Anolis sagrei: one gene and its partner. The protein of the gene in region 2 purifies or fractionates together with the protein of the main gene of each other region. This does not show direct contact. Links are inferred from orthologs where the notes say so. Each region holds a gene or a part of one and is shown on either strand. Other genes may lie near its edges.

Region 1 (7,071 bases), on a different chromosome or scaffold from region 2:
CAAATAACCCAGTTCAAAGTAGATATTGTGGGATTTTCTGCCTTGCTATTCTGGGTTATATGACTGTGTTGAAGGGCCCCCAGAATATCAAGGCAGAAAACCCCACAATATTTAATTTGAACTAGATTATCTGTGTCCACACTGACATGTATTCCAGTTCAAAGCAGGAAAAGTGGAGTTTTATTCAGCTGTGTGGAAGGGGCCTGGGTGGCTTTTGTTGACTAAAATTTCCAGCCTTATACCTGAGTATATAGAGTATAAACTTGAGGATTGTATAGGATGGAGCCATAGGGATGGAAGAGGAAAGCAAAGTATTTATGAAAAGGGAAGTAATGGCCAAAATAGAGAACTAAGCAATGCAATACACACAGAGAGAGGTCATTCTTAATTTCAGAACGGGAACAGCTGCATCTTCCCAAAGACGATTTCCATATCGTGGAATATATACGTCTTGGCAAGCATCCCGGGGGGTCAAAGCAGCACTGAGACAGACAGCCTTTCAAGGCTCCCTTCTTCTTCCTTTCCAGCATTTCAGCAGTTGGTGGCCATCAATATTAAAGCAACTGCAAGGTGCACCGGAGGCAGTGCTATCCGACCGGAGTTATGGCTGCTGTCGGGCATGGGCCTAGCTCTCTCTCACAGCCACAGAAAGAGCAAAACGGTACCCCTGAATGTCGCCTAGAGTTTCTGCTGTATCTGCAGGTTTTTAGCTGAGTTATCGACAAGCCGGGGAGAAGCCAGCTAATGCCCGACCACCAACATCCATGTAACCACTTCCTCCCAAACCAGCCTTGCTTTAAGTGTCTCCCATGAAGGCCAAAGCAGCCAAAATATACTTCCTCACATTTGGATAATAAGCCCACAGCACAATCTTTAATGCCCCAGCAAAGAGGCGGATGGCGGGGGGGGGGGGGGGATGGAAATGTTAAACTAAGGACAGGAACTAGTAGGAAGGACCTGGAGAAGAGTTAAGAATTGCAAAAGTAGGGTAAATCAACGGGGTAGGGCAGGGATTAGCAGATCTGAAGGAAAGGGAAAATACTGGGACCCCAAAATGAGGGTGCAACTACATTGTAAATTAAATACAGTTTGACATCACTATTTCCTGCCCTGGCTCAATGGTATAGACTCCTGGGGGAGATACCAGTACTCTTAGGCACAGAAAGGCTTGCAAAACCACAACTCCCATGATTCCGTAGCATTGAGTCATGGCAGCAAAAGTAATGTCAGACTACATTCCTTCTATAGCGCACACTGAGATGTGGTTTGGAGAGGTACCAGTACTCTTGGGCACAGAAAGGCTTGCAAAACTACAACTCCCATGATTCCGTAGCACTGAGTCATGGCAGTAAAAGTAATGTCAGACTGCATTCCTTCTATAATGTTGAGCTTGTCACCTGGGGAAAATGTGTCCTGAAGGCCAAAATTAAAAATGAAAGCGAGCTAAAACAGATAATAGAATCATAGAATAATAGAGGTTGAAGAGTCCTCGTGGGCCATCCAGTCCAACCCCCTACCAAGAAGCAGGAAAATTACATTCAAAGCACTCCTGGCAGATGACAATTCAGCCTCTGCTGAAAAACCACCAAAGGAGGAGCCTCCACCACACTCTGGGGCAGAGAGTTCTACTGCTGAACAGCTCTCACAATCAGGAAGTTCTCCCTAATGTTCAGGTGGAATCTCCTTTCTTGTAGTTTGAAGCCATTGTTCCGCATCCTAGTCTCCAGGGCTGCAGAAAACAAGCTTGCCCCCTCCTCTCTATGACATCCCCTCACATACATGGCTATCATGTCTCCTCTCAGTCTTCTCTTCTTCAGGCTAAACATGCCCAGCTCTTTAAGCCGCTCCCCATAGGGCTTTTTTCTGTTGATCATGGGGGTTCTGTGTAGGAAGTTTGACCCAATTCTATCGTTGGTGGGTTTCAGATTGCTCTTTGATTGTAGGTGAACTATACATCCCAGCAACTACAACTCCTAAATGTCAAGATCTACTTTCCCCAAACTCCACCACTATTCACATTTGGACATAATGAGTATTCGTGCCAAGTTTGGTCCAGATCCATCATTGTTTGAGTCCACAGTGCTCTCTGGATGGAGGTGAACTACAACTCCAAAACTCAAGGTCAATGCCCAGTGAATGAAAATGCATCCTGTATAACAGATATTTACATTACGATGCATAACAGTAGCAGAATTTAGTTATGAAGTAGCAACAAAAATAATTTTATGGTTGGGGGTCACCACCACATGAGGCTCTGTATTAAAAAGGGAGGCTTAGAAACACCGCTGTAGAAAGAATGCAGTTAACGGCACGCCATGCAATCATGCCGGCCCACATGACCTTGGAGATGTCTATGGACAACGCTGGCTCTTCAGATTGGAAATGGAGATGAGCACCAATTCCCAGAGTCGGACACGACTGGACTTAATGTCAGGGGAAAACCTTTACCTTACCACTTCACCATCTGGAGCAGGCATCCTCAAATTACAGCCCTCCAGCTGTTTGGGCCTTCAAGTCCCAGAATTCCTGACAACTGAAGAAGCTCGTTAGGTGTATTGTCAAAGGCTTTCATGGCCAGAATCACTGAGTTGTTGTGGGTTTTTCGGGTTATATGACCATGTTGTAGAAGCATTCTCGCCTAGCGTTTTGCCTGCATCTGTGGCAAGCATTGTCAGAGGTTGTGAGGACCTCTGCTGATGCTTGCCACAGATGCAAATGAAACATCAGGAGAGAATGCCTCTAGAACATGGCCATACATCCCAAAAGATCTACAACAAACCTCTGCGGATGTTTGCGACAGATACAGGCGAAACGTCAGGAGAGAATGCTTCTAGAACATGGTCATACAACCTGAAAAAATTACAACAAACCTCTGAGGATGCTTGCCACAGATGCAGGCGAAACGTCAGGAGAGAATGCTTCTAAAACATGGCTGTACAACCCGAAAAACCTACAACAAACCTCTGAGGATGCTTGCCACAGATGCAGATGAAACATCAGGAGAGAATGCTTCTAGGACACAGCCATACAACCTGAAAAACCTACAACAAACCTCTGAGGATGCTTTCCATAGATGCAGGCGAAACGTCAGGAGAGAATGCTTCTAGAACATGGCCATACAACCTTGACAACCTACAACAACCCTCTGGGGGTGCTTGCCATAGATGCAGGCAAAATGTCAGGAGAGAATGCTTCTAGAACACAGCCATACAACCTTGACAACCTACAACAACCCTCTGCGAATGCTTGCCATAGATGCAGGCGAAATGTCAGGAGAGAATGCTTCTAGAACATGGCCATACAACCTTAAAAACCTACAACCACCAAGCTTGTTAGGGCTTCTGGGAGTTGGAGGCCCAAAAAGCTGGAGGGCCGCAGTTTGAGGATGCCTGATTCTGTAGCAATGTGGGGTACAAATTTGATGAGGCACGGTATAGAAAGGCCTGGCCAAACTACATCTCCCATGAATGAGTCCACATCCTGGCTGGAGGAGGGCTACGAAAGAGTTCAAAGGAGTGCCAAACTTGCAGCGTAAGGCAAGGAGGACCTTGGTTCCCGGGAGTGGGGGGGGGGGGGGGGCTGCACAGACAGGCGAAAAGGCGTGCCTTTGCAAGCCACCCAAGAGGCAGGCCAGGGCTGTCAGAGCTGCGCCAAGGAGAGAAAGGCCACGAGGCCGGGCGCGCGCCGCAAAGGCAGCCAGGCCCGGGAGGCACCACTCACCGATCACCTCCTGCAGCTCATAGGCGTCCCGCAGGATGGGCCAGACGATTGCCGCTGCTGGGGCCGGGCTGGCCGGAGGAGCAGCAGCAGCAGCAGCAACTGGAGCAGCAACAGTGGGCTCTGGCTGAGGCTGTGGCTGTAGCTGAGGCTCCTGCTCTGCCTCCTCCTGCTGCTGCTGCTGCTGGACGTGGAGAGGCGAGTCGCCCGGCTCCGCCATGATGCAGCAGGAGCAGCAGCAACGGCGCCTCTAGTGCCGGCAAGCAAGAGAGAAAGCGAGCGTCCTTCCTCCTTCCTCCTCCTCCTCCTTTAAACTTCCCTGCCGGCGGCACCACCTTTAACCCGCCTCATCTGCCTGCCTCCGCCGCGCATCCGCTAAGGGGCGGAGGCTGGGCCGCCATCCGGAGGAGGAGGAGGAGGAGGAGGAGGAGGAGCCGCTCAAGCCTCCCAATGCAGCACGGGCCCGCTCTCCCTCCCTGCCAGGGCTCCAGGCGAGGGAATCCTCGGGGTCCAGCACTCTAGTCGAGGCCACACACCTTGTCCAACCACAGCGCCTAGTACCACCCCATAGCATTCAGCCCTCAGTGGCGCAATGGGTTCAATAGGTCAGAGCAGGGGTCCCTAAACTTTTTGAACAGAGGAGAGGGCCGGGTCACAGTCCCGCAAACTGTTGGAGGCCCGGATTATAATTTGAAAAAAACGTGAATGAATTCCTATGCACACTGCACATCTCTTATTTGCAGTGCAACCCCCCCCCCCCCCCCAAATCGAAAAGCAAAAACCCACACTTCTATATAAATGAAATTGTCATGTTCGTTTGTGGGATTAACAGAACTCAAAAACCACTGGACGATTTGACAACAAATTTGGACACAAGACACCTAACAACCCAATGTATGTCCTTCACTCAAAAAATTGATTTTGCCAGTTGAGAGTTGTAGTTGCTGGGATTTATAGTTAAACTGCAATCACAGAGCATTTTGAACCCCACCAATGATGGAATTGAACCAAACTTGGCACACATTTCTCCCATGACCAACTGAAAATACTGGAAGGGTTTGGTGGGCAGTGTCCTTTCGTTTTGGAGTTGTAGTTCACCTACATTCAGAGATCATTGTGGACTCAAACAATGATGGATCTGGATCAAACTTGGCACAAATACTCAATATGCCCAAATTTGAACACTGGTGGAGTTTGGGGAAAAAAGAATCCTGACATTTGGGAGTTGTCGTTGCTGGGATTTATAGTTCACCTACAATCAAAGAGCATTCTGAACCCCATCAACGATGGAATTGAACCAAACTTGGCACACAGTTCTCCCATGACCAACAGAAAATACTGGAAGGGTTTGGTGGGCAGTGTCCTTTCGTTTTGGAGTTGTGGTTCACCTACATTCAGAGATCATTGTGGACTCAATGATAGATCTGGACCAAACTTGGCACTGATACTCAATATGTCCAAATGTGAACACTGGTGGCATTTGGGGGTTGTATTTGCTGGGATTTATAGTTCAATCAAAGAGCATTCTGAACTCCACCAATGATGGAATTGAACCAGTCTTGGTACACAGAACTCCCATGAACAACAGAAAATACTGGGTTTAGTGGGCGTTGACCTTGAGTTTTGGAGTTGTAGTTCACCTGCCTTCACCACGGCAGCGTTCCCTGGCCACGCCCACCCAGCACCGCTCCGTCAATTGCGGACACCCTCTGCTCCAGCCGCTCTGCTTTGCAGAGGACCCAACTGGGAGGCTGATAATGTTTTAATGTGTATAGTGCTGATATTTTAATCATGTTATGAAGTGACATTGTGTTGTTATTGTATATTCTTTGTATGTTAACACATGTTGTGAACCGGTCCGAATCCCTCTTTGAAGGTGAGAAGGTCGGTATATAAAACCTCGAAATAAATAAATAAATAAATTCTCCCTCCCACACAGGCAAAGCGGCCGGAGCAGAGGGTGTCCGCAATTGACAGAGCGGCGCCAGGTGAGCGTGGCCAGGCCAGGGCGCACGGGCCGGAGAAATGACCTCGGCGGACTGCATACAGTCTGCGGGCCGTAGTTTGGGGACCCCTGGGTCAGAGGTTCGAATCCGGGGAGAGCGTGGAGGAGCTCCCTCTGTCAGCTCCAGCTCCCCATGTGGAGACATGAGAGAAGCCTCCCCTCCCACAAGGATGGGAAAATATCAAAACTTATCCCTGGTAGATAGCTACCATACAATTGCACTAGAGGACAGATATTCCTAGTTTTTTAGTCAAATCCTTGCAAAAATTAAACCCACAGGCGGGTTTTCATACCAGCCCATCAGATTGGTTTTGTGTGGATCATGGAAATATTATTGGGTTGCAAGCCTTTTTTATTATCTATGGCAGGGGTCCTCAAACTATGGCCCGGGGGACGGATACGGCCCTCCAAGGTCATTTACCCAGCCCTCGGTCAGGGTCAGCCTAAGTCTAAAATGACTTGAAAGCACACAGCAACAATCCTATCTCGTCAGCCAAAAGCAGGGCCACACTTCCCATTGAAATACGAATAAGTTTATATTGTTAAAATTGTTCTTCATTTGAATTACTGTATCGTTTTTAAGTGGTTTTTTGCACTACAAATAAGATATGTGCCGTGTGCATAGGAATTCATTCATGATTTTTTCAAATTATAATCTGGCCCTTCAACAGTTTGAGGGATTGTGACCCGGCCCTCTGTTTAAAAAGTTTGAGGACCCCTGGTCTATTGCATTGCATTTCTGAAGGCTTGTTCAAAGAGGCAGATGTTTACTTTTTTTGGGAGGGAGAGGGTCAATCTAATATCCCTAAGGAGGGTGTTCCACAGCCGAGGGGTCACCACTGAGAAGGCCCTGTCTCTTGTCCCCGCCAGACGAGCCTGTCAAATTCTAATCCGGCTCTCCAACAGTTTGAGGGACTGTGACCTGGCCATCTTTTTAAAAAGTTTGAGGACCATGTGATCAAAACTAGACATGTTCAGGACTAAGACTCCATTTTAGAATCCCATTTCCCAAATGGATATGGAGATACATGTTTGCCAAAAGGTTATGGCATCATTTTGTAAAAAAAAAAAAGTTGTATGTACTTTATGTTGATTTGTGTTGCCTGTGTTGTAGCCCGCTTAGAGCAGTGAGGAGAGGAGGGTAACAAATAACATTTTTTATTATTGGGAGAGGCCAGAGGTTTCCATGTTTATGGTGCGGAGGACTCGCTCCTCCAGGTTTTATCAGAATTTTAGTCAGAACTGTCTAGAGTATTGAAGGTATTTTGGAGTTAAAGTTCTGCCCCATGGTTAGCTCTCATCTGGGATAAAACCAAAAACAGATACACCGTACTCCTGATCCGGAAGCA
Region 2 (7,071 bases):
GAAACATTCACACCTAGCTCCAGCAGACAAGAGTCCTTTGTCCCACCCTGGTCATTCCACAGATATATATATCAAATCACCTCTCAAAGAAAGATTCCCCCAGGCACTTCCAAGCCATTAAATGCTAATCAAGGTGGTCAGTTGAAACATTCACACCTAGCTCCAGCAGACAAGAGTCCTTTGTCCCACCCTGGTCATTCCACAGATATATATATCAAATCACCTCTCAAAGAAAGATTCCCCCAGGCACTTCCAATCCATTAAATGCTAATCAAGGTGGTCAGTTGAAACATTCACACCTAGCTCCAGCAGACAAGAGTCCTTTGTCCCACCCTGGTCTTTCCACAGATATATAAACCCATTTTCCTACTTCCAACAGAACTCACTACCTCTGAGGATGCTTGCCACAGATGCAGGCGGAACGTCAGGAGAAAATGCCTCTAGAACATGTAGCAAAACCTACAACAACCCAAACATTTTTATTTACTTTTATAGGTTGTAGGCTTGGGCAATCCATGGTTCTAAATGGTTCTAAAGTACTTACAAAACTAAAGTTCTGGTGGTGAAAAATTTCAGAACTCTAACAAAACTTTCAAAATTTAATTATTATTTCATTATTGGTGATTTTAATGACAGAACCAATTAGGAACTGCCATTTATTATGAAATTTTGAGAGTTTTGTTAGAGTTCTGAAATTTTCACCACCAGAACTTTAGTTTTGTAAGTACTTTAGAACCATGGATTGCCCAAGCCTATAGGTTAGATAAAGGCCATCTATTTTTTGTAGGTGCTTTGAATAACTGTTTGTGTTTTCTCATTAACAGGGGACTCCTGCTCTACCCCACAACCTTTGTCTTGTGGGGTTCCTCAGGGTTCAATCCTGTCCCCCATGTTGTTTAACATCTACATGAAGCCGCTGGGCGAGATCATCCGGAGTTTCGGGGTGCGGTGTCATCTGTACGCAGATGATGTCCAACTCTGTCACTCCTTTCCACCTGCTACTAAGGAGGCTGTCGAAGTCCTGAACCGGTGCTTGGCCGCTGTGACGGTCTGGATGGGGGCGAACAAATTGAAATTGAATCCAGACAAGACAGAGGTGCTCCTGGTCAGTCGCAAGGCCGAACAGGGTATAGGGTTACAGCCTGTGTTAGACGGGGTCGCACTCCCCCTGAAGACACAGGTTCGCAGTTTGGGTGTGATCCTGGACTCATCGCTGAGCCTGGAGCCCCAGGTTTCGGCGGTGACCAGGGGAGCATTCGCACAGTTAAGACTCGTGCGCCAACTGCGACCGTACCTTGGGAAGTCTGACTTGGCCACGGTAGTCCACGCTCTGGTTACATCCCGTCTTGATTACTGCAACGCTCTCTACGTGGGGTTGCCTTTGAAGACGGCCCGGAAGCTCCAATTAGTCCAACGGGCGGCAGCCATGGTATTAACAGGGGCTGGGCGCAGGGAGCATACAACTCCTCTGCTGTACCAGCTCCACTGGCTGCCGATCAGCTACCGAGCCCAATTCAAAGTGCTGGTTTTGACCTTTAAAGCCCTAAACGGTTCTGGCCCTACATACCTATCCGAACGTATCTCGGCCTATCAGCCCACCAGGACCCTAAGATCTTCAGGAGAAGCCCTTCTCTCTATCCCACCTGCTTCACAGGTGCGGCTTGTGGGAACGAGAGATAGGGCCTTTTCTGTGGTGGCCCCCCGGCTTTGGAATGCCCTCCCTACTGAACTAAGATCAGCCACCTCGCTAATGGCATTTCGGAAAAAACTAAAAACTTGGATGTTTGTGCAAGTCTTCAATTGATTTTTGATGTGATGTTGTTTGACCATGGACTAGCAATCAAGGATAACGAATTGGACTACGATTTTAACGATGAGATCCGATCTGTATTGGTGGCCCAATACTATGTATGTTTTGTATGTATTCTTAATTTTAATCTATATGCTTAAAGTGAATTGTATATTTTAACATGTTGTAAACCGCAATGAGTCGCCGCATAGGCTGAGATATTGGCGGTATACAAGCGTACCAAATAAAATAAATAAATAAATAAATAAGTCTGTTTATGGCAACACCACTCTTCATTTACAGCATTTCCTTGGCCAGGATTAATACAGTATCCTCAATTGCCCCCTCAGAGAGTAAGAACTACAATTCCCAGCATCCCTAGCGCGTCCGTGGACCCTCTTTTGGCCGCCCCCCTCCCCTTTGTTTTCAAAGGGAAAATGAAGGGAGAAGCATCCAAGCAACAGTAGCGGCTCCTTGCTTGTGCGCATGCGCAAGAGGGAGAAGATGAGGACAAGCGAAAGCCAGGGGAAAGAAGAAAAAAAAAGAGAGAGTTCTGAGCCGCAGCAAGCAACCCGAGAGCAGCGGCTGGCCCGCGCGTGCGCACACGGAGGCGCGAGGGAAGCAAGCAAGCAAGCAAGCAAAGCGTGCGCGCGCGAGGCGCTCCTATTTAGAACGCCTGGGCAGAGGGAAAGCCAAGCTGCGCGCGCGGCTCAGGTAAACCCTTAACGGCTCCAGCCTTAACGGACTTTTCTCTCCCAGGGGCTTGCCTTCAGGGGTGGGCGGGGGCAAAGAAGGGAGCGAACGGAGAGCCCCGCGCATGCGCACTGCGCCCCCTTCCCCCCTTTCTGCATGATACACCTGTACTGTTCCCCTCTCTCTACCTTTGCTTTTCCCTGTCCTCTCCATGGTTCATCTCTTTATGGTTTTGTTTTGGCTTCTGGGGACCATTTCCACCCCCCAGTTCATTTTAAAACTAATAATTCTAACTTTACCTAGTATTTTTTTATTTTGTGTTGTATCCTATGTATTTTAATCTATGCATTATAACTCCTGAGAATGTGCAGAGTGCATGCCTCCTCAGTGATAATTGGGTTTTATATGTATTTTTTGACAGTGTTGTACCCCGCCTCGAGTCATGAAGGGGATAGCAAATTATTATTATTTTCAATAATCTATATAAGTACAAATGTAATGTTTGCTTATGAGATTAACATACCGTATATACTCGAGTATAAGCTGACCCGAATATAAGACGAGGCTTATATTCGGGAAAATGTATTGACTCGAATATAAGCCGAGGGTTGGAAATGCAGCAGCTACCAGTCAATTTCAAAATAAAACTAGATATCAATAAAAATACATTAATTTTAGTTACGAGACGTTAATGTGTTGTTATTGAGATGTCATTAGTTTGTATTTTATACTGTTAATGGTTTTAATATTGTATGTTGTTGGATGGCTTTTGCTCTTGTTGTGAACCGCGTTGAGTCGCCTACGGGCTGAGAAACTGCGGTATACAAGCAAAGTAAGTAAATAAATAAATAAATAATTAGACCGCACCTGGAATATTGTGTCCAATTCTGGGCACCGCAATTCAAGAGAGATATTGACAAGCTGGAATGTGTCCAGAGGAGAGCGACTAAAATGATCAAGGGTCTGGAGAACAAGCCCTATGAGGAGTGGCTTAAGGAGCTGGGCATGTTTATCCTGAAGAAGAGAAGGCTGAGATATGATAGCTATGTATAAATATGTGAGAGGAAGCCACAGGGAGGAGGGAGCAAGCTTGTTTTCTGCTTCCTTGGAGACTAGGACGCGAAACAATGGCTTCAAACTACAGGAGAGGAGATTCCATCTAAACACGAGGAAGAAATTCCTGACTGTAAGAGAACCCTAATAAGAATCTATACTGCAACAGAAACAACATAAGGAAAGGATAAGCTTGTACCTGAAGTAATCTATTAAAGAAAGAAACACATTTTGAAGGAGAATAAGTTTAAAACCTGTTTAGTGAAAGGAAGAGTTCTCTTAAGAGTTGTTTTATGAAATGTATTAATTGTAACCTGTGAAGAAATGTGCTTCTAAGAGCTAAGAAACATTGAAACTATCAAGCTTCTTCTATACTTCAATAAACTTGTTATAGTTTCTTCTAAAGTCAAGTCTCTGTTACAAATACGTCCAAGTTAAGCCACGCTACACATTGAAGAAAGACCAATTTAGTATTACAAGCCATTAGTTGTGTTATCAATTTAGTAAGTCCTTACAAAGTGGTGGCTCCTTTACAAACCGTTACAAACTGGTGGCCTCTTCATGGTTTAATACCCAGCATTTTTAATGTTGTGAAAGAAACTGTATTTGAGAAATATCAGTTTCTGTCATTGTCTTAACTACAATTTTGGAATATTTTAGAGATTTTTTTTTGAATACTCCTGTGTTTTCATACCCTTGGTTATTTTGTTTGTCTCTTTTCTTTGGATGCTCAAATTTTATGCTACTGTAATGCTAGATTCTAGTTCGAAGGAAAATTTGACACTTTGAATCCCATTTGGGAGGAAATTGTAGGTTATATGTGAAATGAGGAAGACAGAAAGGAGACTGAAGGAAAATTTGGTAACTTTGTGCCCCATTTGGGTGGAAAGTAGGATATAAGTCAAATGAATTTAAAAAAAAACCCTTTCATAGATACACCAATTTTGGTGCTCATTCTCACTCTTACATCATCATCTTGCTTGCCAGTGTCTTGTACATGTGCCTCCTTTTATGTGCTTGCTGTTTAAATTTGCTAAAGCAAATCCTTCTTTTTCTTTTAGCTTCCTGATTTCTGTGCATTTTGCTATTTTAAAAAAGACATCCTTACTGACTGACATTTTGGGTGCTTTAAAAGCAATAGTGTAACCCGTTTGGTCATATTTTTGGTGAATTCTTTCATCTTGAACCTATCCAAGTGCCCCATGAGATAACAAATGGGCTCCAAAGTATGGGAACCTTGTTGAACCCTGTGTAGAAATGACTCATGTCTACAGTTTCGTGTTTGTTTGAGACTATATATATATATATATATATATACACACACACGCACACACAGAGTGTATATATATATATAGAGAGAGAGAGAGAGAGCACACATTAGTATTGTCTAGTGGTTTGAGAATTGGACTATGATTCCGGTAAAGGTAAAGGTTTTCCCCTGACATTAAGTCCAGTCATGTCCAACTCTGGGGTGTGGTGCTCATCTCCATTTCTAAGCCGAAGAGCAAGGCGTTGTCTGTAGACACCTCCAAGGTCATGTGGCCGGCATGACTGCATGTATCTAAGGGTATATCTGCACAAGACATGGGCAAACTTTCAAACTTGGGCTTCCACATTCTAGCACTCCCTGCTAGGAGGACTGGCTGCCTGGTGATGGAAGGAAAGAGGAAGGAAAGAGAGAAGGATGGAAGGAGAAAGAGAGAGGGAAGGGAAGTAAGGAGGAAAGAAAGAGAGAAGGATGGAAGAAAGACAAAAGGGAGGGAAGGACGAAAGGGTGGAAAAGAAGGAAGGATGAAAGGGAGGAAGGGAAGGATGGAAGGAGAAAGAGGGAGAGAGGGAAGGAGGGAGGAAAGAGGGAAGGAAGGATGAAACAGTGAAAGGGAAGGAAGGAAAGCAGGAAGAGAGAAAGGAAAAAGAGAAGGAAGGGGTGAAGAGGAGAATGGAAGGAAGGAAGGGAAGGATAAAGGAAAGATAGAAGGAAAGAATGACAAAAAGGAAGGAAGGAAGGAAGGAGAGGAAGGGAGGAAAGAGGGAAGGAAGAAGAACAAAATGGTGGGAGGGAAGGATGGAAGGAAAAAGAGGGAGGGAGGGGAGGGAGGTAAGGAGGAAGGAAAGAGTGAACGAAGGAAAGATGGAAGGAGAAAGAGGGAGAGAGGGAAGGAGGGAGGAAAGAGGGAAGGAAGGATGAAGCGGTGAAAGGGAAGGAAGGAAAGAAGGAAGAGAGAAAGGAAAAAGAGAAGGAAGGGATGAAGAGAAGAATGGAAGGAAGGAAGGGAAGGATAAAGGAGAGATAGAAGTAAAGAATGACAAAAGGGAAGGAAGGAGAAAGAGGAAGGGAGGAAAGAGGGAAGGAAGTAGAACAAAATGATGGAAGGGAAGGATGGAAGAAAAAAAGGGAGGGAAGGGAGGGAGGGAAGGAGGAAGGAAAGAATGAACAAAGGAAAGATGGAAGCAGAGAAGGACGGAGGGGTGGAAGGGAAGGATGGATGGATGGATGGAAGGAGGGATAGGATGGGATGGGATGGTGAGAGAGAGGAGGACCTGAGAAAAGAGCCCAAGGGGCCGCATCCATCCCCTGGGCCTGGGTTTACCCACACGTGATCTGCACTGTACAATGAATGCAGTTTGACATCACGGGCTTAATGCTACGGAATAATGGAAATTATAGTTTGATGAGGTACTATTTGGCAGTGAAAGTTAAAGACCTTGTCTGACTACAACTACCATGATCCTATAGAAGTTAAAGTGGTGTCAGTCTGCATTAATTTTACATTATAGATGCATCCATGGAAAGCTACTGGGTGACCTTAGGCAAGCCATGCTCTCTCAGCTTCAGAGGAAAGCAAAGTCAAACTCTTTCTGAACTATTTGTGCCAAGAAAACCCTTGTGATAGGCAAACAACAACAGTGTTTTTGCTTTGTTTCTCCAGGATCCTAATATTCCCTCATGCGATTATCAGAGGCTGTTGATTTCCCTGCACTAGGCCTCATCCAACGGTTATCTTCTCCTGCCAGGACTTTTGAAACACCACCAAGAAGAGCCTGTGGAGTAATTCTCAATCCGTTGACAGGGACAGCACTATCTTAAGGAATCTGTTTTTACTGTTCTTGCATGGGACACTGTGATACACAGCCTCCGCCTTTTGAGATAAGAAGCCTTTCATTGTTTTCTGCAACAGGATTGTAAGGAGTATTTGCAACGAAAATTCACCCATCTTTTTTGGCATGTCCCTCTGCAAACACAGTGGATTGTGACCTTACTTTCACCAGGTACCCGGTAGCCTTTTTGCGCGCTTTGGGGGAAAAAAAATCTTTGCGCTCAGAAGCAATTACCTCTATGCATTTTGCTGTGCCAAAAATATTTTTGACCTAACAAGCAGGACTTTCCACCAGGGTTTTTGCCTCTTTGGGGTAAACATCAAGGACAGAAATTTAGTATAGATCAATTATAACCGCCTTTTTGCTTGGATCTGTAGGCTGCCTTTGGGAAGAGAAAAAAAAACCTTACCTCTGCTGCCTGATAAATGGGAATCTTT

Evidence for each region.
Region 1: the proteins of SLC12A6 (region 2) and STK39 purify together in Homo sapiens (affinity purification with mass spectrometry; 3 studies listed by BioGRID and IntAct, with this or other methods). This does not show direct contact. The link is inferred for Anolis sagrei from reciprocal best matches to the Homo sapiens genes SLC12A6 and STK39.

The regions. Positions count from the first base shown.
Region 1 is NC_090021.1:195,636,560-195,643,630, reverse strand, and holds the start of STK39 (STE20/SPS1-related proline-alanine-rich protein kinase), read right to left. Parts: upstream 4,122-7,071; 5' UTR 3,938-4,121; coding exon 3,721-3,937; intron 1-3,720. UniProt on the Homo sapiens protein: Effector serine/threonine-protein kinase component of the WNK-SPAK/OSR1 kinase cascade, which is involved in various processes, such as ion transport, response to hypertonic stress and blood pressure.
Region 2 is NC_090026.1:13,085,458-13,092,528, reverse strand, and holds the start of SLC12A6 (solute carrier family 12 member 6), read left to right. Parts: upstream 1-2,227; 5' UTR 2,228-2,503; intron 2,504-6,465; 5' UTR 6,466-7,071.